Lepisosteus oculatus: one gene and its partners. The protein of the gene in region 1 purifies or fractionates together with the protein of each later gene. This does not show direct contact. Links are inferred from orthologs where the notes say so. Each region holds a gene or a part of one and is shown on either strand. Other genes may lie near its edges.

What was found. Proteins that work in one complex are often made in the same cells at the same time.
Region 2: the proteins of kras (region 1) and c1qbp purify together in Homo sapiens (affinity purification with mass spectrometry; 3 studies listed by BioGRID and IntAct, with this or other methods). This does not show direct contact. The link is inferred for Lepisosteus oculatus from reciprocal best matches to the Homo sapiens genes KRAS and C1QBP.
Region 3: the proteins of kras (region 1) and hnrnpa1b purify together in Homo sapiens (affinity purification with mass spectrometry; 3 studies listed by BioGRID and IntAct, with this or other methods). This does not show direct contact. The link is inferred for Lepisosteus oculatus from reciprocal best matches to the Homo sapiens genes KRAS and HNRNPA1.

What each region holds. Positions count from the first base shown.
Region 1 is NC_090702.1:51,787,786-51,795,128, forward strand, and holds the start of kras (GTPase KRas), read right to left. Parts: upstream 3,266-7,343; 5' UTR 3,176-3,265; intron 2,859-3,175; 5' UTR 2,584-2,858; intron 2,396-2,583; 5' UTR 2,268-2,395; intron 2,129-2,267; exon of another isoform or gene 1,709-2,128; intron 1-1,708. UniProt on the Homo sapiens protein: Ras proteins bind GDP/GTP and possess intrinsic GTPase activity. Plays an important role in the regulation of cell proliferation.
Region 2 is NC_090721.1:3,224,711-3,232,547, forward strand, and holds the start of c1qbp (complement component 1 Q subcomponent-binding protein, mitochondrial), read left to right. Parts: upstream 1-4,690; 5' UTR 4,691-4,871; coding exon 4,872-5,130; intron 5,131-5,736; coding exon 5,737-5,887; intron 5,888-6,904; coding exon 6,905-6,992; intron 6,993-7,122; coding exon 7,123-7,218; intron 7,219-7,641; coding exon 7,642-7,767; intron 7,768-7,837. Other genes in the region: ATP-dependent RNA helicase DHX33, read left to right, coding at 183-386, 560-646, 970-1,278.
Region 3 is NC_090696.1:19,466,654-19,473,929, forward strand, and holds the start of hnrnpa1b (heterogeneous nuclear ribonucleoprotein A1b), read left to right. Parts: upstream 1-4,129; 5' UTR 4,130-4,226; coding exon 4,227-4,238; intron 4,239-5,265; coding exon 5,266-5,382; intron 5,383-5,761; coding exon 5,762-5,908; intron 5,909-6,380; coding exon 6,381-6,591; intron 6,592-7,005; coding exon 7,006-7,098; intron 7,099-7,276. UniProt on the Homo sapiens protein: Involved in the packaging of pre-mRNA into hnRNP particles, transport of poly(A) mRNA from the nucleus to the cytoplasm and modulation of splice site selection.

The DNA of each region.
Region 1 (7,343 bases):
TTTAGTCTCTTAAAGGATCTTACACAAACTTATTTGCCCGAGCCAGATCTATACCTTTAAACTCTTCATTTTGTAGGGGTGCTCACACAGGCCAACTTTTGAAATGAAGCAAAACTGACATTAACGCAGAAAGGTACTTGATCGCCAGGACGTGCAATTATTGGGCGAGATCAATCGATGTGTAGCCATCGGCTAAAGCTGATTAAACTGTAACAGAAATGGGACAAGCATCTACAAAAATGTGTATGTTACACAACCATTAACATTAGCGTTCAAGACTTTTTCAATTTGCATATTTTTCCAACTGCGAACAAATCCTATTCCATTTCCTTGTCCTAGATCAAACACCAAAGGGAAGGGTTTTGCAGTGCAGCTTGCTATATATCTGTGGCCATCTTCCTTTCAGAACAACAATGCAGAATGAAGATTAATCAAAATCACAAAAGCCCAGATGGGCAATGGTAAAGTGATGTGCTCTCTAAACACAATCACGACAGTAAACACAAAGGAATTATGCAAGAGTCTGCAGGCAACTTGGGACACAATTCTAATTAAAAAAATGATTCTTTTTGAAGATACTGCATCAAGGGGTGCATGGGACGAGGCAGCTAAACACAAATTGTGTAACTGTACAATGCTTAGCAGCACCCATGTGATTATCCATTGCTGTGTTAAAATAAAGCACTCAGTTTTAAGGGTTTCTATGGAAAACTTTACGAGTCTTCGTTCGCCTTACCCATAACAGCTTGGATGTAAACAAAAGTTTAAGATGAACAGGATTATTTAGTACAAAACAAGCTAAAATATGCAAAGCTATTTAAGAACCATATTATCACAACAAATTAAGAACACACAAAAGATGTGGAGGATCAGATATCATATCAACCTCCCCAGTTCATTCCATTCCCCCTACTCAGTGCAGTTACAACTGTTACTCTATTGCGAAGACATAGTTTCACCCACTTGTGATCTACAAAGGCAACATTTTCATGATGCAGAATTTGAACAAGCTGTTAAAAGCTCGAGAAATGTTAAGTACCAAACGTCTTTCCGACACCCAGTTAAGGAACAGAAAGTCCGTCTTCTGCCAAAATCTGCCTTGTGTCACTAACGGGGGAATTTTAAAGTATTTTCTACCAACTGGGTAGTTCATCGCGTTTGAGTCAACGGATAAATGTTAATTAAAAGAAACATGCAATAATAGATCTAACGGGTTTTTTTATATAACGTACAATATCCTTAACCAGTGTTAGTGCTTCAAGTTAACATGTGCAGACTACCAGTCTCAACAAAATTGAGATTCCAGCCCTGAAACTGGAATCAGCCCCCAAACTCCGTAACTGTTCACATATCCGTATACATTTACTGCGTATTTTGAAAACAAAAACGTTATGCATCTTAATATTAACACATTAATTTACACTCCAGAGTAGGCAGCTAACCGTCTGCTCCACTATCACAGCAAAGTAAAAAACAAATTACTGGGTTAGCCTAGTTTAAAAATCATTCTAAATATTTAGGAATTTCTAAAAAAAAAAACACCACCACCAACACTTAAAGCAGTGTATTCACCTTACGTTTCACACGCCTGTTCATCAGCTATTAACACAGACATAGCAAAGTGACCCGACCCTAAAGTGATATAAACTGTAGCAGTTGTGTTGGGTCTGCAAATTTCTCCCCCAAAGCAGCTGAATCCGCTCCCCACCTCTGAACACGCACGGCGCCAGCCCGTCCTCCTGTGAAATTAATGGCCTCTGGTCGCCGTCAATGAAATAAAACGGGGCAAGGTCCACACGGATCTAAGGCCAGTTTCGCCGTCCTCCCCTTGGCGTGAACACCGCGCAGCGCTGCTCGCCTGGCGGTTCCTAACGCGCGTCGGGGTGGGCGCACAACAGGCCCGTGGGTGTGGAATACGTTAACACCGCGGGTTTAAAAAGAAAAACAAAACTAACACACACACACACAAATCGCGTTTGGCCGAAGGAGCCTCGGGAGAGGGGCTGCGCCGCGCCGAGCTCCATCTGCATTGCAGGGCCACGGCCGGCGAGATGGGCGTTGTGGTGTTTCTTTCACCCTTTGCCACTTCCAGCTCGATTGTCCTCGGGTACGTGTGCGATACCCATGTTGCCCCCCCCACCACCACCAAAAAAAAAAAAAAAAGAAACGTGCACTTTTTTTTTTAAAGGAAACAGCCGTTCAACGTCAGCTGGTCCAATTCAGGGTTCATTAGCCACATATTTGATCTTTTCTTTTTTTTTTTTTACCTTTTGCCTCAGGAGTTCCGCGTCCGAAGTGTCAGAAAGAAGTATCTCGTTTAGTTGCTACAGCCCTTCCTTCTGTAACGATACAGGCATCTTTGGCTTCAGTCTTTTTTTAAAAACGTGACTCGGGTCTTCATCGCGCCGAATGTAAAAAAAAAACCAAAAACCCCCCTCAAACGATAGAAACTGCGGACGGCACACAAAAATCAATTAAACTTTTCTTTTTGGTTCCTTGTTCGGCCTGACGCCTGCCTGCCCTCAGACAAAACTGGGCGGATACTTCACATCCGAGAGCTCATTTCAAACACCACTCACTTACCCAGAAAGCAAATGGGGAGAGGCCAGGAAGGAGTCCGGCTTGCTCGCTCGGTTTCTCTCCTCGGGTTTCCTTCCTTCGCGGCGTTTTCGGAATTATTTCACCATTATTCTTTCAGACTGGACGGGGAGCTAAGACACCACAAGACGAGGAGTCCCGCATTAGCCCCAGCCCTCCCGGCGGTGCAGTTAAACCAGTCCCAGTTCACACAGACCGCTTCACTACTCCCAAGGACTGGCAGAGGGCGTTACAGGCGATTACAATTTGTGAAACGAGACCTAAAAATAGAAATCCAGTATCTGCAACGAGTCCCGACTTAAAACATCGCTTATCGAGAAAACAAGAGGCTTAAACGCACGTCTCTGAATTTGTGCGTTTATTATTATGATAATAATAGGATGTCAAGAATAATACATGCTTTTACTCTTGTGAAACGGCTGACTTGTTCAAGGGAGCTCCCCCCTCATTTGTACGGAGTACGGCTAAACCATACCTCATGGGAAAACAACGTGGCTTGAAACAACACTTTAAATGACAAAAGCAGGGCAAGGTACGTTTCAGAAAGTGAAAAGACGCGATTTTCTACCCCACTTACCAAAACGCACAACTGTATGTAACGATTTTACTAGGCTAGAGCACAAGCAATTCCCAGCCACCTCTAACCTCTGCCAAATCTGTGTAAACACTGAACAGACCAGCAGCAGCAGCACAGCTTAAATAGGCTCTATAAATACACTGCTTATGCGCTTTAACTACGTCACCGCCGAGAAGGTGTCTGATTTGGCGTTTCTCTGTCAGTTACGCAATGCCCGGATGACGTCAGTACACACCGTAGCAATGTATTATTGCAAATCTTTACAGTGTGTGAACTGCGGTGAACCTGTCTGTGAGATATTAACCCTGCCCTGGACGAATAATGGCAGGAGGCGTTAAATAGCACATGATGATCAACCGAGATACTCTTTTTCTAACCTCTTAACCATTAATCTTTCCTTTGCATGAATTTCGATACACAAACACCTGCATTTTTTAATCGCTAATTTAGTATATTGTATTATTTTTCGATTGCAAGGTGGAACTGGGAATTTTTTGCTACCATAGCACCGCAAGAATTCTTTAAAGGGTAAAATATGATTTCTCTCTATTAGAAGGTACAGTGAGAGAAAATACCCTGTTCAATGGCAGTCCTTACCGATATGCAGTGAGCCAGGTGAGTCTAGACCCTGGGCAGGTCACTGAAGAAAACCCATGTGGAAAAACTGTAGGGAGAACATGCAAACACCACACAGAAGGTCCCTCAGATCCTAATTGAAACCAGGACTAGTGACACAATACTGCTGACCACCACATCACCATGTCACCTGTGTTAGATAGAAATCCCTAATACCTATTGCATGCAATTTGACCCTGCATGTTGTAAAGCAGTGACTGAGCTTTTCAAAATAGTCAAGTTGTTGAACCTGTGAAATATCTGGTTAGAAGTGAATTTAGAGAAAACTGAATCAAAACCTTGCCTTTTCCTTTACATTTTCTATCTGGGCTCTCAACATCGCAGATTAGTGATTGTGGAGTAACTTTAAGTCTTGGAATTTGCGGGGTGCTATTCAGTTCCTACCTCTGCAAGAGATAAGTCCACTGAGCTCACAGGCACTCTTTCTGATATGGTCTGGTTTCTGTCTTTTCATCTCTATTCTTCATTGGAATGCAGTTATGTGCTAAGCTGCACTGTCTAATTATCCCCCCTTGTGGCAAAATTATTTGACTTTTTTTTTGCTGCTTTCCAGTGGATGACATTCACCCTTGCCCATGCTTTTCCTCAAGGAGTGTGCAAATTCCATTTCTGAAACACGCAAAGGGACAAAATGCCTTCATAGCCATGCTATACGTTTAATAGAAAACACATCACTTCATATTGGAATCAAAATGCTGATCTGCAGTGTCTTTATTCTGCTGGAAAGCATATGGCGTGGTTCCTATACATAAGTCAGCCTGCATTCGACATACTGCACTGCACTACTTGGACATAATGTATTGCATACAGCCTGGACACATCACAGCTCTATTTATATTGAGCTCTGTCTGAGTTTATTTTATTCCATTTCTATTGCACAAGTATGTATTATTATGTAGCCTTATTTTATAACGTTAATTTTGTGATTTTTACCCCCTCCCCTCCAGTGAGCGTGCAGAAAAGACATTTCATTGCCAGCAACTACTGCTGCACACTTTATTGTTGTGCATTTGATACATAAATGTTGATTGATTGACAGCACAGTATCCACATGTGGATTGTACAGAGTGTGCAATATCTACACTCGTCTTCAAACACATAAGCCACACTCACCCATTCTTGCAAGGTGTCAGGGTGAAAGAGTGTCACTTTCAATAATGTGAGTGTGTAGTCTGTTCAGGTCATTTTGTGTGATCCTAAGTTCCTCAAAAAGTATTCAATAAAGAGAAAATGTTCAACTCTAAATGCACTTCTTCCTACAAATTTTAATTTGTGCACTTGCTTCATTTTTGGGGTCAAATAATGCCATTAGAATTGCTTTGTAAACACCTTTCCGCTGCTGTTGTTGTGGTTCACAAAGTTTCAATAACAACAATACACTTAAATAATAATAAATACATTTTAAATCCCAGAAAGGGTAAGAACATCAGAAAAGTTGTAAACGACTGGAAGCCATGCAGACCATGTAGCCCACCTGGATGCTACTTAACTGATCTAAGGATCTCTTCGAGCTCTTTGTTGAAAAAGAATGTATCAGCTTCAACAACATGGCTGGGCACAGCAGCTTCTGAGTAAAAAAGAGCCCTCCTGTTCTCAGTTTTAGATGCACTTCCATGTAGTTTTCTCACATGTCCACTCGTTTGTTCTTCACTGTTTTGTGAAGAAGTCCTGAGTTGACTTTATCAGTGTCATTAAGGATTTTGACCAGGTCTGCTCTCATCAAGATATTAAAGGTGGTGGGGTTGTGGTGCAGTGTGGCGTGGTGGCTCTGTGGTTAAGGATCCGTGCCTGTGGCTGGATGGGTGCTGGTTCGTATCTTGTAGCTGGCAGAGGAATCCTACTCTGTTGGGGCCCTGAGCAAGGCCCTTTACCCCAACTGCTCCAGTGGTGCTATATAAATGGCTGACCCTGCAGTGTGACCCCGAGGTTCTCTCCCTGTCTGTGTGTCTCATGGAGAGCAAGTTGGGGTATGTGAAAAGACAAATTCCTAATGCAAGAAATTGTATATGGCCAATAAATTGATCTTATCTTCATCTGAAGGCTTTTTTCCTTCAGCCCATCAGCCCATCAGTGCAAGGCATTCATTTTAGCCCTGGAAGGGTTATGGACTAATTCCAGAGCAGCAAAATCTTTTTGTACCATGTTTAAGAATTCTATGACAACGTTTTAAAGAATATTTACTAGTGGACAAACGTCACATAACATCACCAGATTTCATTTCTAGGTTTTTCATGACATATCCTAATATTCTGTTTCTATTGCCTGTCTATATTTGTCTACAAGATGTTTCAGAACCAAATGTCTTTTCATTCATTTAAAGCTTGTGTACAATATCAATATAACATCGTACAACTTTAAAAACCTAGATGTTTAATGAGGTGTTTTGAATTCTTGACTCCCTTTGCTTATTATCAATGATTTGAAGTGATATTAAGTCATTTCACTTTGAAGTGAAATTAGGTGCATGAGAGGAGAAGCCCAGTTCATTAAAATAAATGAATACTGCTTCAACGTTGAAAACAGCATTTATTGTACTTACAGGCCTACTGGAATAGCAATGCCAGAAATTATTTTAAGCATTTTTTGTATGAGATAATGAGATTAATATGAATGATAAGTACAATATAAATGTGTTTGATCGTAATAAAACAGAAACATACTTTGTGCTCAACCCAGTGATTTCAAGTGACCATGCAGTTAGTACCGAGATATTAAAATGCTCCTTTGAGGCAATAATTGGTCTAAACTTTTAGGTTGTATTGGCCTTGTGTTCTGGTTCGATGTCTTTCTGCATCGTGAAGTGCTGCCCAATATGTATGGAATCATTTCTTCTACCTAAGCAGACAAAATGTTTCTGTAAACTTCAGAATTCGCTCTGTTGCTGTCATTAGGTACATAATCAAAAAAATGAGTGAGCCAGTTCTGCAGGTGGTATCCCCACTACCTCCACCATGCTTCACAGATGAGACCATAATCTTCAGAGAATCTACGGTTACTTTTTTCCACTTTTTATAACTTTCTATCATTATGTTAAAAAGTTCATCACAACTTTGTTACAAGACTCATGCCTCATCTTTTTACTTCTGAGTAAAATATAATCTGTCTTTTTTTGGTCTTGATACTGATGAGTGATTTACATGTGGCTTAGGCTTTGTAATTCTGCTTTCCTACAAACTGTAACTGTGATACCTTCTCCCCTGGACTCTGCAGACTGCCAGCAATTTCACTAAAGGCTGTTAAAGGGTTTTTCTTGAGAGCTCTGATGATTTTTCCATTAACAAATTGCACATATTTGTCTTGGCTGACTTCTTCTTTGCTAATTGGTAATTAAACCCATGGTCTGTTTCTTCAGTAGATTCTACAGTACATTGTGAATTTTGGTGTGCCCATTATTGTTTCAAATATTGACTTTAAAATGCTGATTCCAAACATTGACAGCCAAGCAAAATACAGTAGTATAATAAGATGTTCACAGTTCTGTTATGAGCCTAATTGCCCAACAGCTTACAGCTGACCAACAAGAGACACCAGC
Region 2 (7,837 bases), on another chromosome or scaffold:
AAAAGCCAAGTTTTATCTCTCAACAATCCATTTTATACTACAACAAAAACAAAAAGCTAATTGAAGTTCCCAAATGAATCTCAGGACATGAGAATGTTTACAGTGTTATACATATTGACTCCTAGACTAGACTTTCAATTGGGCCTGGTGTTTTTTTCTTACCCTTTTCTGTTTTTCTCCAGACAATCCTGCTGTCAGCGGACTTCTCCTGTACGGAGGAGGTGCTGACGATCGTGTCCCTCCTGTCAGTGGACAGTGTCCTCTATAACCCCCCTGCCCGGAGGGAGGAGGTCTACTCCAGGCGTAGGAAGTTCATTTCCAGTGAGGGAGACCACATGACACTGCTCAACGTCTACAGGGGCTTCAAGAACGTGGGCGGAAATAAGGTGGGGGCGTCCTCAAACGTTCCAATACCCACAGGATTTAGATACACCTTTCTTGGGCAAACTGGCAAAACCAATATTGAAAGGGTTGGCAGGAGCTGATCTGCAGTATTATGTATCGCCAAGCTGTCTTTCCATTCTACTTTTTACATTTTTTTCCCCTTCGCGTTTTGCAGGATTGGTGTCGAGAGAACTTTGTGAACAGCAGGAATATGTCTCTGGTGACAGACGTTCGCAGTCAGCTGAGAGAGATCTGTGTGAAGGTATGAGACTTTGTGGATGTGTGGTCACCAATCAAAAGGGCTCTGGCTGTTATGAAATGTATTAAAAGAAAGGTGTTGCCCAGGAGATGACTAGAGAGTTGGGCACCTCATAATGCAAAGTATTAAAATAGAGCAGAGCAGTTTGGTGTCAGAGACTTTATTTAGGAGGTGTTATTTAGGGGTTATTATTTTGGTAAAAAAACATTCATTTTATTTGAAATCTGTTTTGGTTTTGCTGTTTGAGTTAAAAAGATGCGCTTGGCCTCACCCCTGTCATCATAATGTCTGATTAACTTCCCGGATTTTTATCCCCCTGCACGCAGCTGGGAATTTCCCCCGAGTCCTCTCGCTCCGATATGGGAAATGTCCGCCGCTGTCTGGCGCACGGGCTGTTCACGAACGCAGCCGAGCTGCAGCCTGACGGGACGTACATGACCTTGGACACTCACCAGCCTGTGGCCATCCACCCCTCCTCCGTGCTCTTCCAGGCCAAGCCGGCCTGTGTGGTCTTCAACGAGCTCCTGCACACTTCCAAGTGCTACATGCGGGACCTCTGCCTGGTGGACCCGGACTGGCTCCACGAAGCTGCGCCCGAGTACTTCCGCCGCAAACTCCGGGCGATCAAGAGCTAACCCCCCCGACCAAGAGGCAACTTGTGCACTAGATCTCAAGGCAGCATCTTGTTTTCACCCCACATTCACCCAAAAACAGTCTATGGTAACAGAGTAGCATACACTGTTGGATTACAAAGCATCCATCCATCCATCCATTTTCTAACCAATTCTTCCAGTTCAGTTTAGTGTTGGAACTGGAGCCTATCCCAGCAAGCAACAGGCTCAAGGCAGGGTACACCCTGGATGAGATGCCTGCTTACACAGCATCTTTGTTCCAAGATCAGTTGGTGGAATGCAACACATTTGGCCTTAGAGAGAAAACTCACTGTATCACGGATGTGACAAAGATAGTCTGGTGTTTGTGGTGAGAGTTTGGGACCTGTGGGGTTGTCTCCAAAGACAACTCTAGAAATGACTCACAGTTTCAGCCTGCTCGGACAACGTCTGACCTCCACTGACTCTGTTCTGTCACCTCTCAGCTTTCCCTTGTTTTTTTACTCTTCCTTTCTCTTTCTCAGGGCTAAATCATCAGCAGATAACCGAATATTAACTTAAGAACCAGCCTGGACAATGAATTCAGCCATGCAATGAGACCTTTTGTATTCTTTTCTGGAAGAGATGGGCTGTTGCTGTGATAGATCAGTCAATTATAAAGAACTGAGCCCCACAGTGGTAGGTTTTCCACAGTTCTCATGTGTCTGGCACAACCTTGCTTTTGTATTTGACTGCTGGCAGTTTCAAGAAACACCCAACTGCTATAAAAATAGGAATATGATTAGCTTCACAGCCAGACTGCTGAGCTGTGGAGCAATAAAGAGATGTGCATTTATTGTACCTTTCAATGGCAGATATTATTGTGAATCATCTCATTCCTCCACTACCTGTTCTGCATCTTCAACAAGTTGGAAATCTCCTGAAAAACTCATTGTTAATGGAAGTCTCTTTACTTATTCTATCATTTGGCCTTAAAATGCTTACATGGTTTGACTAGCAAGCCTTCTGCTGCTGGTATTACAAATACTGGTTGGAACATGACCAGTTTCCTCCTTTCTTTATAGTGATACAGTGCAAAAAACCCAGGGAGGAGTCAAGTCACAGGATAACCTAGGTTTTTTGGGGACGGAGGCATAGATTTATTTTTTTCTGTAAATCGTGTTATGATTCTTCTTAACCAACACGGATTTCTTCACATAGTTTCACTGTGATCTTGCCAATTTTAATATTTAGTCTCACGTGCTCCCTTTAACCTGAGAATTGGATCTCTGAAACTTTGTGAACAATGGCCAGATTTTCAAATAACCCATGTTAAAGCTAACGTCATATGGCATTAACAATTACCCACAGAAAGAATGATAAACCTTCACTTTGACCTCCACCCTAGACTTGACATATTTAGCTGAGGGAACAATTGCACATTAATTGTAGATTAAACTGGTGGACCATTATTTTTCTTAAATTGCTTGTTATTTCAATATTTAACTTCTGGGAAAGCAGGTAATACTTTTAATAGAAGTCACTCATAGTTTAATCGCATGCCATATTGCTTTTCAGTGGCTTTACACCACTGTAGCATTTCACACATTTCGGGTGTAAAGATCTGTTACACTAATGTTCACTGGTCCAGTAGAAAATCACTCTGGTTCTTAAATAGGTGAGTTTATTAGTGTTCACTTCCCTCTGTATCTGTCCAGCACTGTTGAGCAATTGCTGATTTACCCATGTAAAGTAGCAGTAGGTTTGCAGTGCATGTTTTAGAAGTGAAAATAATAAGTTGTTAAATGTAGTTAAATGAACCTATATTAGACAACAACACAGGGAATTGAGTTTTAAGCAAGGTAATTAAGCTCCAGACAAATTCAGTCCACTTTTTCTAAGGTGATATTCTGTTTCCATAATTAAAGAGAAAGGTTATTCTCGAGGCTTGAGCTATTGTAGGTTGTTTTAAAGTGGGCTCTTCAGTACCTTAGAACAAAAGGGTTGTCAGGGTGTGGGTCCACGTTTTTGCTCAGGGTTAAGGATTTGTCACACAACGTCATAACAACAGCAGTGTTGCAACTATGCTGTTTATGCTGATTAAGAGGGGCTTAGTCAAGAGCAAGTATGACATGAACTACTTTCAGGACGAGAATATAAAATGTGAGTATTAGGTTTGTGCGTCATGAGAGCTGTGAGAATAATAGATGCTCCACAGCAAGGCTGGGGAAAAGGACAGATGATCAGTTGTTACTGTTGTATTTCATTATTTTATTTACAGAAGGAAATACGGTGAATGTCCTCTTGAAGAAAATACACAAGTTCAGAAGGTTTTCTGTGTAAATGGGAGGATTTGGCTAAGAAGCCTCAGAGCAGATATTGGTGCAAAGGGTGTTTTGAGTAGGTTCTTTTGATGGGCACAGAATTGTATGAGTGACACAAGGCTTTGTAAAATAAAATATTTATAATAAAGACTATTTCTACACAATGTGGTGTAGAATTTGTTTTCTATATGTGTTGCATGTGTACTGTATATGAACTTCTTAAGTTCTTCCTTAACAGCTCACACATCCCACACATTTAGTCTCTAAATCCTTAAAGACGAGCAGATGTAATGATGTAATAATTTTTATGTAATAATAATGTGGGAAGTGGGGTGCAGACCAACTTCATGGGCGGAAAGCGCTGTCTCAGGGGGACCAGTGTGTCTGCAAGATGTTCTAAGTCACCAGAATCTGAGGATTGATTATGTACTGTAGGTCATTAGGAGTAGAGTTAGCATGAAAACCTGCAGACACACCGCTCTTGGAAGACCAGAATTGCTCATTCTTGCCCTAGTTTAAATAAGGCACAGTACCACCTTTATACCACACCCTTACTACTTCAGGGAGCAAAACTGAAGACCTGCACCCACACAGTCTAGGGTTACGCACAAAAGTATAAACGTCTTAAGCGGTTACACTATTCATACACAAAGTATGAATCGAAAGTCAATCGGTTTGCTTTAAATTTTGTAAGTGTTCAAATTTTACCATTATTTTTAAGACTTCAAACTAGCATTCCAGGAAAAAGGGAACATGGGATAAAAACAATCCAAACTACCGGTCAAACAAGGACACGGGCTGTGTTGCACAGTTGAAGAATACGGTTCGTCTAGAATACATTTTGCCACAATACACATGTATTTGTATTAGAAAAGGGCACTATTTATAGCACAATTTTAAATGTAGTTAGATTTTAAAATTATAAAAATTGTAAGATAAAAATAAAAGTGTTGAGGGAAAAAAAATCACATAACACCGGGTGAAAAGCTCTTAGGATATTTCTCTGGAAAAGTAATGATAAATAGTTTCCAGCCACTCCAGAGGTAGAAAGATGAGCACGGAACTGTTATTCTACTTAATGCGTTTCTACGACCATATTTTAATAGCGCACGGACATCTTTTTCCAGTTCAAAGGTAAAAGGTCACTGCGAAGGAGGAGGTCAGAGCGTCCTTTCTGCCGACACGTGGTTTCCAGTAGTTTCTTAGCGGTTTGAGTCTGATCAGTGGGAGAAGGGTATTCCGTCGCACGCTTTTTTGGGGGTGACCTCCGATTTCAGTCAAACTTCTTCAATACTAGCTTAGTCGTCTGAAACCATGTTGAAGTCTCTTACCCGGGCCCTCGGCGTCGCCACTCGTATTTCCACCAGCACAGCCGCCTCTTCCACCCGGGTGCTGGAGCCTCTGCTCCGGCCGGCTGTCGGCGCTCCCAGCTCGGCAACAGCTCGGCCCTTCACCCGCTCTATCTGGATGCTGTGCAGTAGCGGCTCCTCATCGGAACACAGGCCGGGGTTGCTGAGCAGTAGTCGGGGTATCCCATCGGTGTCGTGCGGCTGCGGAGGACTTCACACGGAAGGTAAGCATAAAGAAATAATCCTGCGAATTATTGTGGGATTCTGGGGCTCTGATGGTATATCCGGGACGATTGATGCTGCTCGTGTGCGTTAACCCAGATGTGTTTCTTACAAACAGCGTTCAACCGGTTTTGTTACAATCACGTTATGGACAAAAACGGCCTTCAAGAAGATTAAAATGAGTTTTGCAAACGGTAATTCCGGTTTGACATTCGGGGCTACAGTATCCCCACATGATCAGTGAAGTGTCGAAGAAGGACTTGAAAAACCTTTTGTTTTATAAATCCGGGACGTTGAATTGTAATGATGCTTCGACACACATGCCCTTGATGTTATTTCTGTAGAGTGATACACGCTGTGAAGAGCACTCCAGACTTCTGTGCAATATTTCGATTATAGGCGTGAAGCATTACATTCAATGCACTGTCCATCTGTAATTATGAGTATTGTGTATACATCTAAACACCTTCATGGCAAGATCGGTAGTTTCCTACTGTATGCTTTATAGTTTTACATTGAAAATAAAAAAAAACTTAAGTGATGTACCTTCTCTGTATCTGTGTAAAAAAAACTAACAATGCATAATCGGAAACACATTTCTTTGCCAGGAGACAAGGCATTTGCAGAATTCCTGTCAGATGAGATTAAAGAAGAGAAAAAGATTAAGAAGCACACAGCGCTGCCCAAGATGTCTGGGGGCTGGGAGCTGGAACTCACAGGCACCGAAGCCAAGCTAACTAGGAAGATCGCTGGAGAAGTGTAAGAGAAATGTTGAACCCTTTCTTCAGAACCTCATGGCACACAAAGTCAGCCCCGGGAAGGCAATTTGTTCCCCGAAAAGGATGATGATTGAATAATTTAAACCCCACTCTTCGCATGCCATACTGCATTTCAATTAAGATTAAGATTGACATTTGATTTCAATTTCTCCACCTTTAGGGTGTCTTGATGTGACCTTCCCTTGTATATCAGATGAGTCATCCAATACACCGTCTAATCCTTCCGACCGACACAATCCACCTCTTTAGTTAGGTGTTAAACCAGTCTGTCCTTTCAGGATCTGGCTGAAGTCAGCTGGTTGACTATTTAAGTGAAGAATCTATTCATCAGTGGATGAATCTGAATGTCAGAATTCCTCCTCAGAGTTGTGTGTTGTAAGTCATGCACGTTGGGCAGTCATGAGTTGTAATTACTGGGTGGGTGAAGTAACATGGCTTATGGCTAAAACACCAAAAACCTTTCTTAACAGTCAGCATCAAATGCTGTTATTGGTTTTATGCAGTTTAGCACAGGAAACCCTGAATATCATTAAATGGGAAGAAGTCTAGAAGCAGCAGCCTATTGATTTGACATTAAAAGAAGCTGGGGGGGGGGCAGCATTGCTGTCAATGGGGCCCTGGGTTCAATTCCAGTCCTGGGGTGATACTGCGTGAAGTTCGTGTGTTCTCCCCGCATTTGTGTTTGAGTTTCCTCATACACACTGGTGGGTTGATTGTCCTCTGAGAAAAATGTGTGTGCCCTGTTATAGGCTTGTGTCCCATCCAGGGAGCTCCCCTCCTTGCACCTGTTGCTTGCTGGGATAGGCACCTGCTCACCTAAGGAAGCAGCAGCTGGGAAACAGGTGGATGGGGAAAAACCCAGGGAATGGGGATCATCAAAGATGAAGATAAATGCCAAAATATTATCAAGGACTTAAGTTGCCTCAAGCTGAGATTAATGCTTTGACCTCTTGCCAGGATGCTGATTATTTCCTTCTGTCTTTTCTCAACGCTGCAGGGTGTCGGTCACATTCAACATCAACAACAGCATCCCACCCACCTTCGATGAGGAGCCAGAGCAGGGCCAGAAGCCCTCCGAAAACGAGGTGAGCGTGCACTTGGTTCTGCCTGTGTAGAGTCCAGGTCTTGGTGGCGTGAGTGGTAGACTTCTCTCATAAAGGGCACTGGGATATAACCAGGGTCTTTATGTGATTGTTCCCCTTGTGTTTCTTCTAGCCTGAAATTGTGTCAACACCCAACTTTGTCGTGGAGGTGGCGAAACAGGCTTCAAACCAGTCCTTGGTGTTTGACTGCCATTATCCCGAAGATGAGGTGGGTCTCTCGGTACTCTGCCCTGGTCATTCATGAATGGGCACTGATCTTCACACTGGGCTCAACAGGAGTTGCTGACATGGCTCAGAAAGTGAACAGTCATTGTTGATGGTTTGCACAGGTGATTATTTCATGTGTCGCATATGGACTCACCTGAAATAATCATAGAATCAAGTGCAATAGAACTATGTTATCTTTTATTCCCACAGTTATTTGGTCAATTAACTGTTTATTTTAATACCTATATATATATATTGTTTTGTTTTTTTCCCTTTTTATCATACATGGATGTCTCTTAATGGGTTAGTGTTCTGTTAAATGTATTGTGTTACCCACTTGGAAAGCAAATTTCCCATCTGGGACTATAAAGTATAACAAAGGAGCGATTAATTGCGGTATTAACGGGCCGGGTTTGCTGTCCAGGTGGGCCACGGCGAGGGAGAAGAGGAGAGTGATATCTTTGCCGTCCGAGAGGTCAGCTTCCAACCCACTGGAGAGAAGGAGTGGAAGGACACCAGCTACACACTCAGCACCGACTCCCTGGACTGGGTATGTAGTCCCTTCTTCCAAGTGATTCTTCCTCAAAAGCTTGGATGAGAGTCTAGAACTACCCTGCCGA
Region 3 (7,276 bases), on another chromosome or scaffold:
TGCAAGCTCCACACAGACAGCAGCCCAGGTCAGGAAATGGACCCCCGAGCCCCAGTGCTGCGAGGCTGCAATGCCAGCCTGCTCCTGATTCACCCCTTGCAGTACATTTACAGTACAATTCCCCATCATAAAAACACACAATGGCAAAACGGCTGTTACCACCCTTGGACAATAATGCAGCGAAGCACTACATTTCCCTGAAAACGTGTTCCCTTTTAAAAATCCTGTATGTATATATATATATGAATGTATGGTACATGTGCAGTTTCATGTTTAAAAAGTAGTCTCTCTCAGCTGCGGCCACAATGAGGGAGCTGATGGCCGATCCTGTCCAATCAGAAATGCAAATCACAGGCTGGAGCATGGGAGAATACACATTTCTACAGCGGGTGAGTTTCCCTCCATGCTTGTTGAACAGGTGGTTAAAGAGCTGGCCTAAGCCTTGCGCACTTACTGCAAATCCTCCAGGCCTGAAGACTGTGGTCTGTGCCAACAACGGAGAACAGTTCCAGGGGTGTCAGTGCCCCCACAGGAAGAGCTCAAGTCCAGCTGCTGCCTGGAAGAAAAAGGTGAGAAAAGACAATTCAGAGCCTGGGGCTGCTACAGAGACGAATGCAAGAAGGTCTGGGACAATCAGGGAGGAAAACGCCTTCGACTGCTTTCGCGCAAGGAGGAGAATACTCCTTAAAAAGCACGCCACGCGGACTTCATCTGGGAGAGCTGCGAACTTCGGGACAAGGCTAGGATTCATTCCGCGGAGGCTCTTCCACCAAGCAGAGTCCAATTCGCCCTATTCTGCACGGCCGGCCGTTTCACTGGAGGGATCGGGGGGGGGGGGGGGATGACTGCAGAGTCTCGCGCTCGCGGCCTCGAACCCGTGGCCACAGGTCAGGAGTCCAGAGCCCCGGCCGGCCGCTCCACACCGCTGCCCCGAAGGGCTTCTGAAAGGGGTAACCACGCGCGGCAGGTTCTGCCATCTGAAGGTGGCGTCTTGCCCACAGAACAATGACAGGAAAGGAAGCCCCTGTGTTACACTGAAAGGATCCCCCCACCCCTGTTCTCTGCTGATGGCGATTCTTACAGCTGCTTCCTTTGATCCAGCTGATTACTTTGACTAGCTTGCCTATCAGTGGGGAAACAAGACGCCAAAGAGTTAAAGCGCTCTTCCCAGATCGGCAAGCATGAATATGCATGAATCAGCCTATCGCTTTTAACACTCACTTGCGCATCTCTCCAGTTAATCCAGCTCCCCCTTTTCTCACCTGGATAGACATGTTTTTGTTGTTGTTGTCCTGTACGTGTTTGAAGTGTTTACAAAAAAAAAAGTGCACGAGATGCAGGAGCCGAAGACGCACCTCGGCCGTGCGGTGCGAGAGCCTGGCTCTCCACGATGCGTGTGGATCCCCCGGTGGGGGGGTTGTAGCACGTGGACGTGCAGCGTGATACACATTTTGACCAACATTCAGAAAAACAACGCTGGTAATATTGCACGGGGTGGGGATACTTTCATCAGACTCGTCAGCAATCAATCCAAAACCGGTTCCTCCGGATCCATCAATGGGTGGGGGTGGGGGAGATTCATCAATCTCCCCCGTGAGATTATCGGGCTCTACGCTCCCCTACAAGGTCTTTATCCTTTTTTCAGAAAGTGCCACGAATGCTCTCGCCAGCGCTGACTTCAGTCGCGACCCCACTCCCTCGCAGACCCCGTGTCCGCCAGACCCGGAGCTGAACTCGCCCGCGACGGCTGGAAATCCTGAACTGGAAGCGGAAGGCTTCCCGATCGAGCCCGGGGGGAACAGTCTCCCGATCTGGGAGCTACCTGACCGCGTCCGATGAGTAACACTTTCGCACACCCACAGAAGCGGCGTCAGGGGCGCTCCGCGGTTTAAACTGCGATGCCCGCTGCCGTCGCTAAAGCCCATCATACCCCCCAGATGCGGGGATCGGCGCCACTCTTTGATGACCTACATTAAAAAAATTGTCGCTGCTTGATTCTTTCAATGGGGGTGATCGGTCCCTGTTACCGATTTGCAAGATGCGCACCGCCAACCCGGCCTGCGCATGTGACAAACACAAAATCACAGAGCTGTGCGTTTCCGGCTCCTCTCCACTCGGGACCTTAAAGAAGTTTGCCGGAGGGCTTGGATTCACACACACCAGTCTCTTATCTTACCGAGAGACACCGGCACCCGTTTGTTTTTTGTGTTCCAAGGGGAGGTTTAATTCCCTCGTCTTGTGAGCGCGCCCGAGATTTAAGGAGAGCGTTGAGCTTTCACCGTGAGCAAGGAAAGGGCATTCCTTTTAAAGGCTTTTACACCGTACGCGTCTGTTGGCACGGGGTGGGGGTGGGGGGTCATTTTCCTGGTAAAAAAAAACGCCAGCACAAGTTTGCAAGCAGAACTCAGCATAACGTTCAGTCCCAAACCCAGGCAACCCGATTTCAAGTCACAACACCGGTTGGGAGGCGTGCAATGCTCGTCACAACACTCTCACTAAAGGTTCCGCTCCATTCACAGCCTTATCGTCTTGAGAGAGACGGGGCGAGATTTATTTTTTTTCCCCAGATTTTACTCTGGAGAAGCATGCCGGGCTCCGGGAGCTCCGAATGAATTCACACAGAGAGACAAGACAGGGGGTGGGGGCAGAGAGCAGCACCGCTTATCTACAAAAATCGCCATTCACCAGGCAAACTGAATCGCTGCACACAGTTGTTTTTTTTATAAAAGTAGACTCCATGCGTTATCTGTTGTGAAACCCACCTTCTCCTGTAAATCCCAGTTTATAACCCCAATTTGCAATACAAACACACATGGCCGTAACGCAAATCACCCTGGCACAGGAAGTCCCTCCTACCTGACGCGTCTGTGATTTGTACGCTTGGTGCAGCGACCCCGCCAACGCAGGGAAGCCGCCTCTCTGAGTGGCCGAGGCGACTGTCAATCAATGTCGCTCTTCCGCTCGGCCCAACACGACCCCACCCACCTACCTCCTCCTCCCCCCCCATCTTGTTTCTTTCAATCCCGCCGCTTTCACATAAGAGACGTGAACGAAGAAACGTTCAAATCGACCCCCCCCGCCCACCATAAAAACTCTCTTTCGCACGTTTTCGTTAACATAGCGCAGAGTAGCCTACCCCTCCAGCTCTTCGCTGGTGCGAACTGAACGAGAATTTGGCTCACCCAGTCGGTGAAGAGACCGTCTGAATCCAGGAGAGAAAACGTTACGACCCAATCCGCCGCCGCAGCTGCAGCTCGAGCGCCTCTCCGACTCTCCTCCTGACTGCGTAGACGCGCGCGCCAAAAAAAAAACACACAATAGCTGGAGCGCGCACGCGCACGCAGGGAGCTTTGAAGGGGTCCTTCTGCGATAAGAAGACGGCTTTTCCCCGCTCGTCAGGATGATAAAAATGCTTCAAACAACAATAATAATGATAATGATGATGATGAAAAACAAGATCTCATGCAAAATCTCGACCAGGACCATTTTCCCTGGTCCTCTGAATCCAAACAAGCAGGTTTAGCTGATACAAACAAGCCATGTGTCTCGGGTTTAGGAATTGTATCTCTGACGTTAGGAGTTGTATTCATTAGACCTAAAAACTACTGTGACAAATAATAGGAAAACATACTTTCAAAGTGCTTAGAATGTGCCTATTGGCAAAAAGCGACAGCCTAGCTCTCTGTATAGCTGCTGTAACAATTCACGTAATACATCTACCACTAATAATCATCTAAAATGACATGCTTATGCAGTTGCATGGGCCAGTATTGCTGGGTGGCAGATTTCTTTGGACATTTCATGAAGACGATGTTCATGTTTTATTGATTTAATTGACACCTTATTCACGCAAGTACGCGGATCCTTTTTCTCCCCACAACACGACTGCGTCACCGGCCGCTCTCTCCGCGATCGCTCGGACGCCTTCCCCAATGATTGGCAGGAAGAGGAGCAAATCGGATTCCGACTTCACAACACGGGGGGGGTGCGATTATTCCGACAATATTTCTGCGATTGGTTAGAAGGACCAGATAGACGAGAGTTCTATCCAATGAGCTTTGAGCAACTCTCCCAGCTCCGCGCTGCAGCGGGAACTTTTAGCCAATCACTGATGCCAGTGGGCGGAACTTACCGTCTTCATAACTCAGTAGCCTGAGCAGTGAGAAGGGCTCTTTCGACCTTGTTCCTTCAGCAAGAGGCGCTGTGCTGGTACAGATCTTGTAGTAATGTCTAAGGAGGTAAGTTTTTGCTTTTCTTCAAACTAAAGCAACTTACTAGGCGTTTTTTAGGACCTTTTAGTCAAAATACCCGTGCTTTGAATAACGTGGTAGTTAAAGCTTATTGGTGTAAAAGGTCGTAGCTATAAAAGACATCTGTGTTTTCATAAGTCGGTGGCTCGTTTGTTGCTGAAATTGTGGAAGGGGGAAGACGCACATCGTTACTGTTCACTTCAGTAGTATATTTCCCGTCTTTCTAGTTCATTACTGTGTTTTATTTCTGTCTTTGGTGAGGTGCGATCTGTCGCTCCGCCATTTCGTGAGGGCGGTGGGTGTGCAGGCCACGCGCCTGCGAGCGAAATCGTGTGTCTTTCCCCAGGAGAAAGACACGCTTGTCTCGCGTGGCTGTAGCATCGACCCGCGTTCTGTATCCGGAGCAAATGGGAACACCGTTAATCGGTGAATATACACAAATATTGCAAATCCAAGAAAAAAAGACTCGGATCCATTTCTTTGTTTCCTGTTGGTGTAACGAACATGGCGCCCAGGCCTTGGAAGTCCTGCCCTGGGTCAGTCGTCCCAGATCGCTCTTACAACAGTTAGACCTGTGCAATGCGGCTTATTTCCCGCATTAAGACTGGGATGCTGTTAAAACGCGCTCCTCTGTTTTGTGGAGCCTGGGCGGCCGTGTTAGTAAATATTGAGACGGTGAGTGTAGGCTGCAGCTCGCGCATGCGCCCTGCCAGGGCCTTTGTCTCCGGTCTGGAACCTTCCGCGCTCACGCGGGCTGGCTAGCGTGCCCACGCGCCGGCCTGGGGCCGCTTCGCTTCTGCGTTCTGGAATTGGCGTTGCTGATTCGGAGCGGAGCAGATCTACGTGTGTGTAACCCTAAGAGGGTGGGAGGACACGCTCCGGAAGTTTTCATTTGCGTATAAGCTCTGCAGGGCGTGCAATCGTCGCGGGTTTCCGGCCGGGTTCGGGTGACCGGCGGGTCCGGCCTGCCTCTTACCCAGCGCTTCCTGCCTCTAACCCCCGCTCTCCCCCGCAGGCCCCCCGTGAACCGGAACAGCTGCGCAAGCTCTTCATCGGAGGGCTGAGCTTCGAGACGACGGACGAGAGCCTGCGAGCCCACTTCGAGCAATGGGGACAGCTCACGGACTGCGTGGTAAGGAGAGGAGAGACCCCCCCCCTCGGGCCCCGTGCTCGCGGTGTGGGGGCGGGTGTAAACGATCCCGGGACGCGCCGGTTTGTGGTGCGGGGAGCGCCTGCCCTTTGCCCTGGCTGTGCGGGGGGGGGCGTGTTTGTCAGGCCTGGCGGCCGCGAGTGGGAGCGGACTAAAAGCTCAGGCCGTGATCTGTGTGGGCTGTGAGTCCCAGAGCTCAGGGCAGCGTCCCGCCCGGGACCCTGGTTGGGTGACCCCACCACTGTGACTTTGATTGGTTTCCTAAAGCTTGGGGGGAACCGGTTCAGTTTAAGGGGCCCGGCGCAGTTCTCCCCCTCTGCCTCCAGTGCTGATGTGACCCCCCCTCTCTCTCTCCCCCCAGGTGATGCGGGACCCCAGTACGAAGCGGTCCCGGGGGTTCGGCTTCGTGACGTACTCCTCGGTGCGGGAGGTGGACGCTGCCATGAACGCCCGGCCCCACAAGGTGGATGGCAGGGTGGTGGAGCCCAAGCGCGCCGTGTCTAGAGAGGTGAGCCCCCCCCCCAGTCTGCTGCCTGTTTTCCCTGGGGTTGGGGAGAGTGTTTCCGGATCGAGGGCCCGCCAGAGAGCTGTGGAGCCGCTGCCTGCCACCCCGATACACGCGGGGGGCTCGTCGGTCCTCGGCGGGACCTGTTGTCCGCACTGCGGAGCCAGAACAGGAGGAACGTCTTTGCGCAAAGGGTGGTGGTAGGAGGGAACTGATGTTGAAGCTGGTTTCCTGGCTTCCTTTTCGGCTCTGCAGAATATCCATTCAGTCTTCTGATTGGGGCAGCGGGTTCCGTTTTACCCAAAGAGTGGTGGGAGTGGGGAACAGGCTGTTCAGCCACGTTATTGAAGCCGGTACCCCACCACCCCCCAGATGGATGGGGTCGATTTAAGCCAGTAGCTGCCCTAGGGGGCTGGACTGACCCCCCGGCCTCCTCCTCCTCCTCTCGTGACCCGCCTTGTCTCCTTGCCCCCAGGACTCGACCCGGCCCGGCGCCCACATGACCGTCAAGAAGATCTTCGTGGGCGGCATCAAGGAGGACACAGAGGAGCACCACCTGCGCGACTACTTCAGCGAGTTCGGCAAGATCGAGGTCATCGAGATCATGACCGACCGGGCCAGCGGCAAGAAGAGGGGCTTCGCCTTCGTCACCTTCGACGACCACGACTCCGTGGACCGGATCGTCAGTAAGTGTGGTGGGCGACGGGCCTTGTGCTGGGGGGTGTGGCGCCCCTGGGGGAGCCTGCCAGGCCACTGTAGCGACGTGTGCCGGTACCTCTCCAATGTACACCCGTACCCCGGTATCCGAGCCTGATTCGTTCATGGGGAATCTGTTCGGAAGGCGGAAGATCATAAATCCACCCTTTCCGAACCGAGGACAAGTTCGCTCAAACTCTTCATGTTCAGATTGGCAAAAACTCGTGTGCCGAACGTTCTTATGCCGGGGTGTGAGTGTGATTTAAAAGGGTCTTTGTTTTGGCTTCTTGGCTCTGGGTATTTAGGGGGGGAGGGGGTTTTGTGGGTGTGGTGCTGCACCCCTGGTTTGGGGCGTGCCCCCCCCCCCCCGTTTCTGACCGTTGTCCTGTCTCGCTCTTCCGCAGTCCAGAAGTACCACACAGTGAACGGCCACAACTGTGAGGTGAGGAAAGCGCTGTCGAAGCAGGAGATGGCGAGCGCAGGGATGAACATGAGAGGTAAGCCCTCTGCGCTTGGGGTGGGGCGGGGGGGTGGGGGTCTTGGACCCTGTGCCATTGGTGTTTTCAGCTCTTTTTTGGGAGAGGGGGATGACCCTGGGTGCTCTTATCTCAGAATTGATCTGGCTTTAGACCCGAGTGCTTTTGGGGGTTTATTCTGACCAAAGGAGAAAGCACT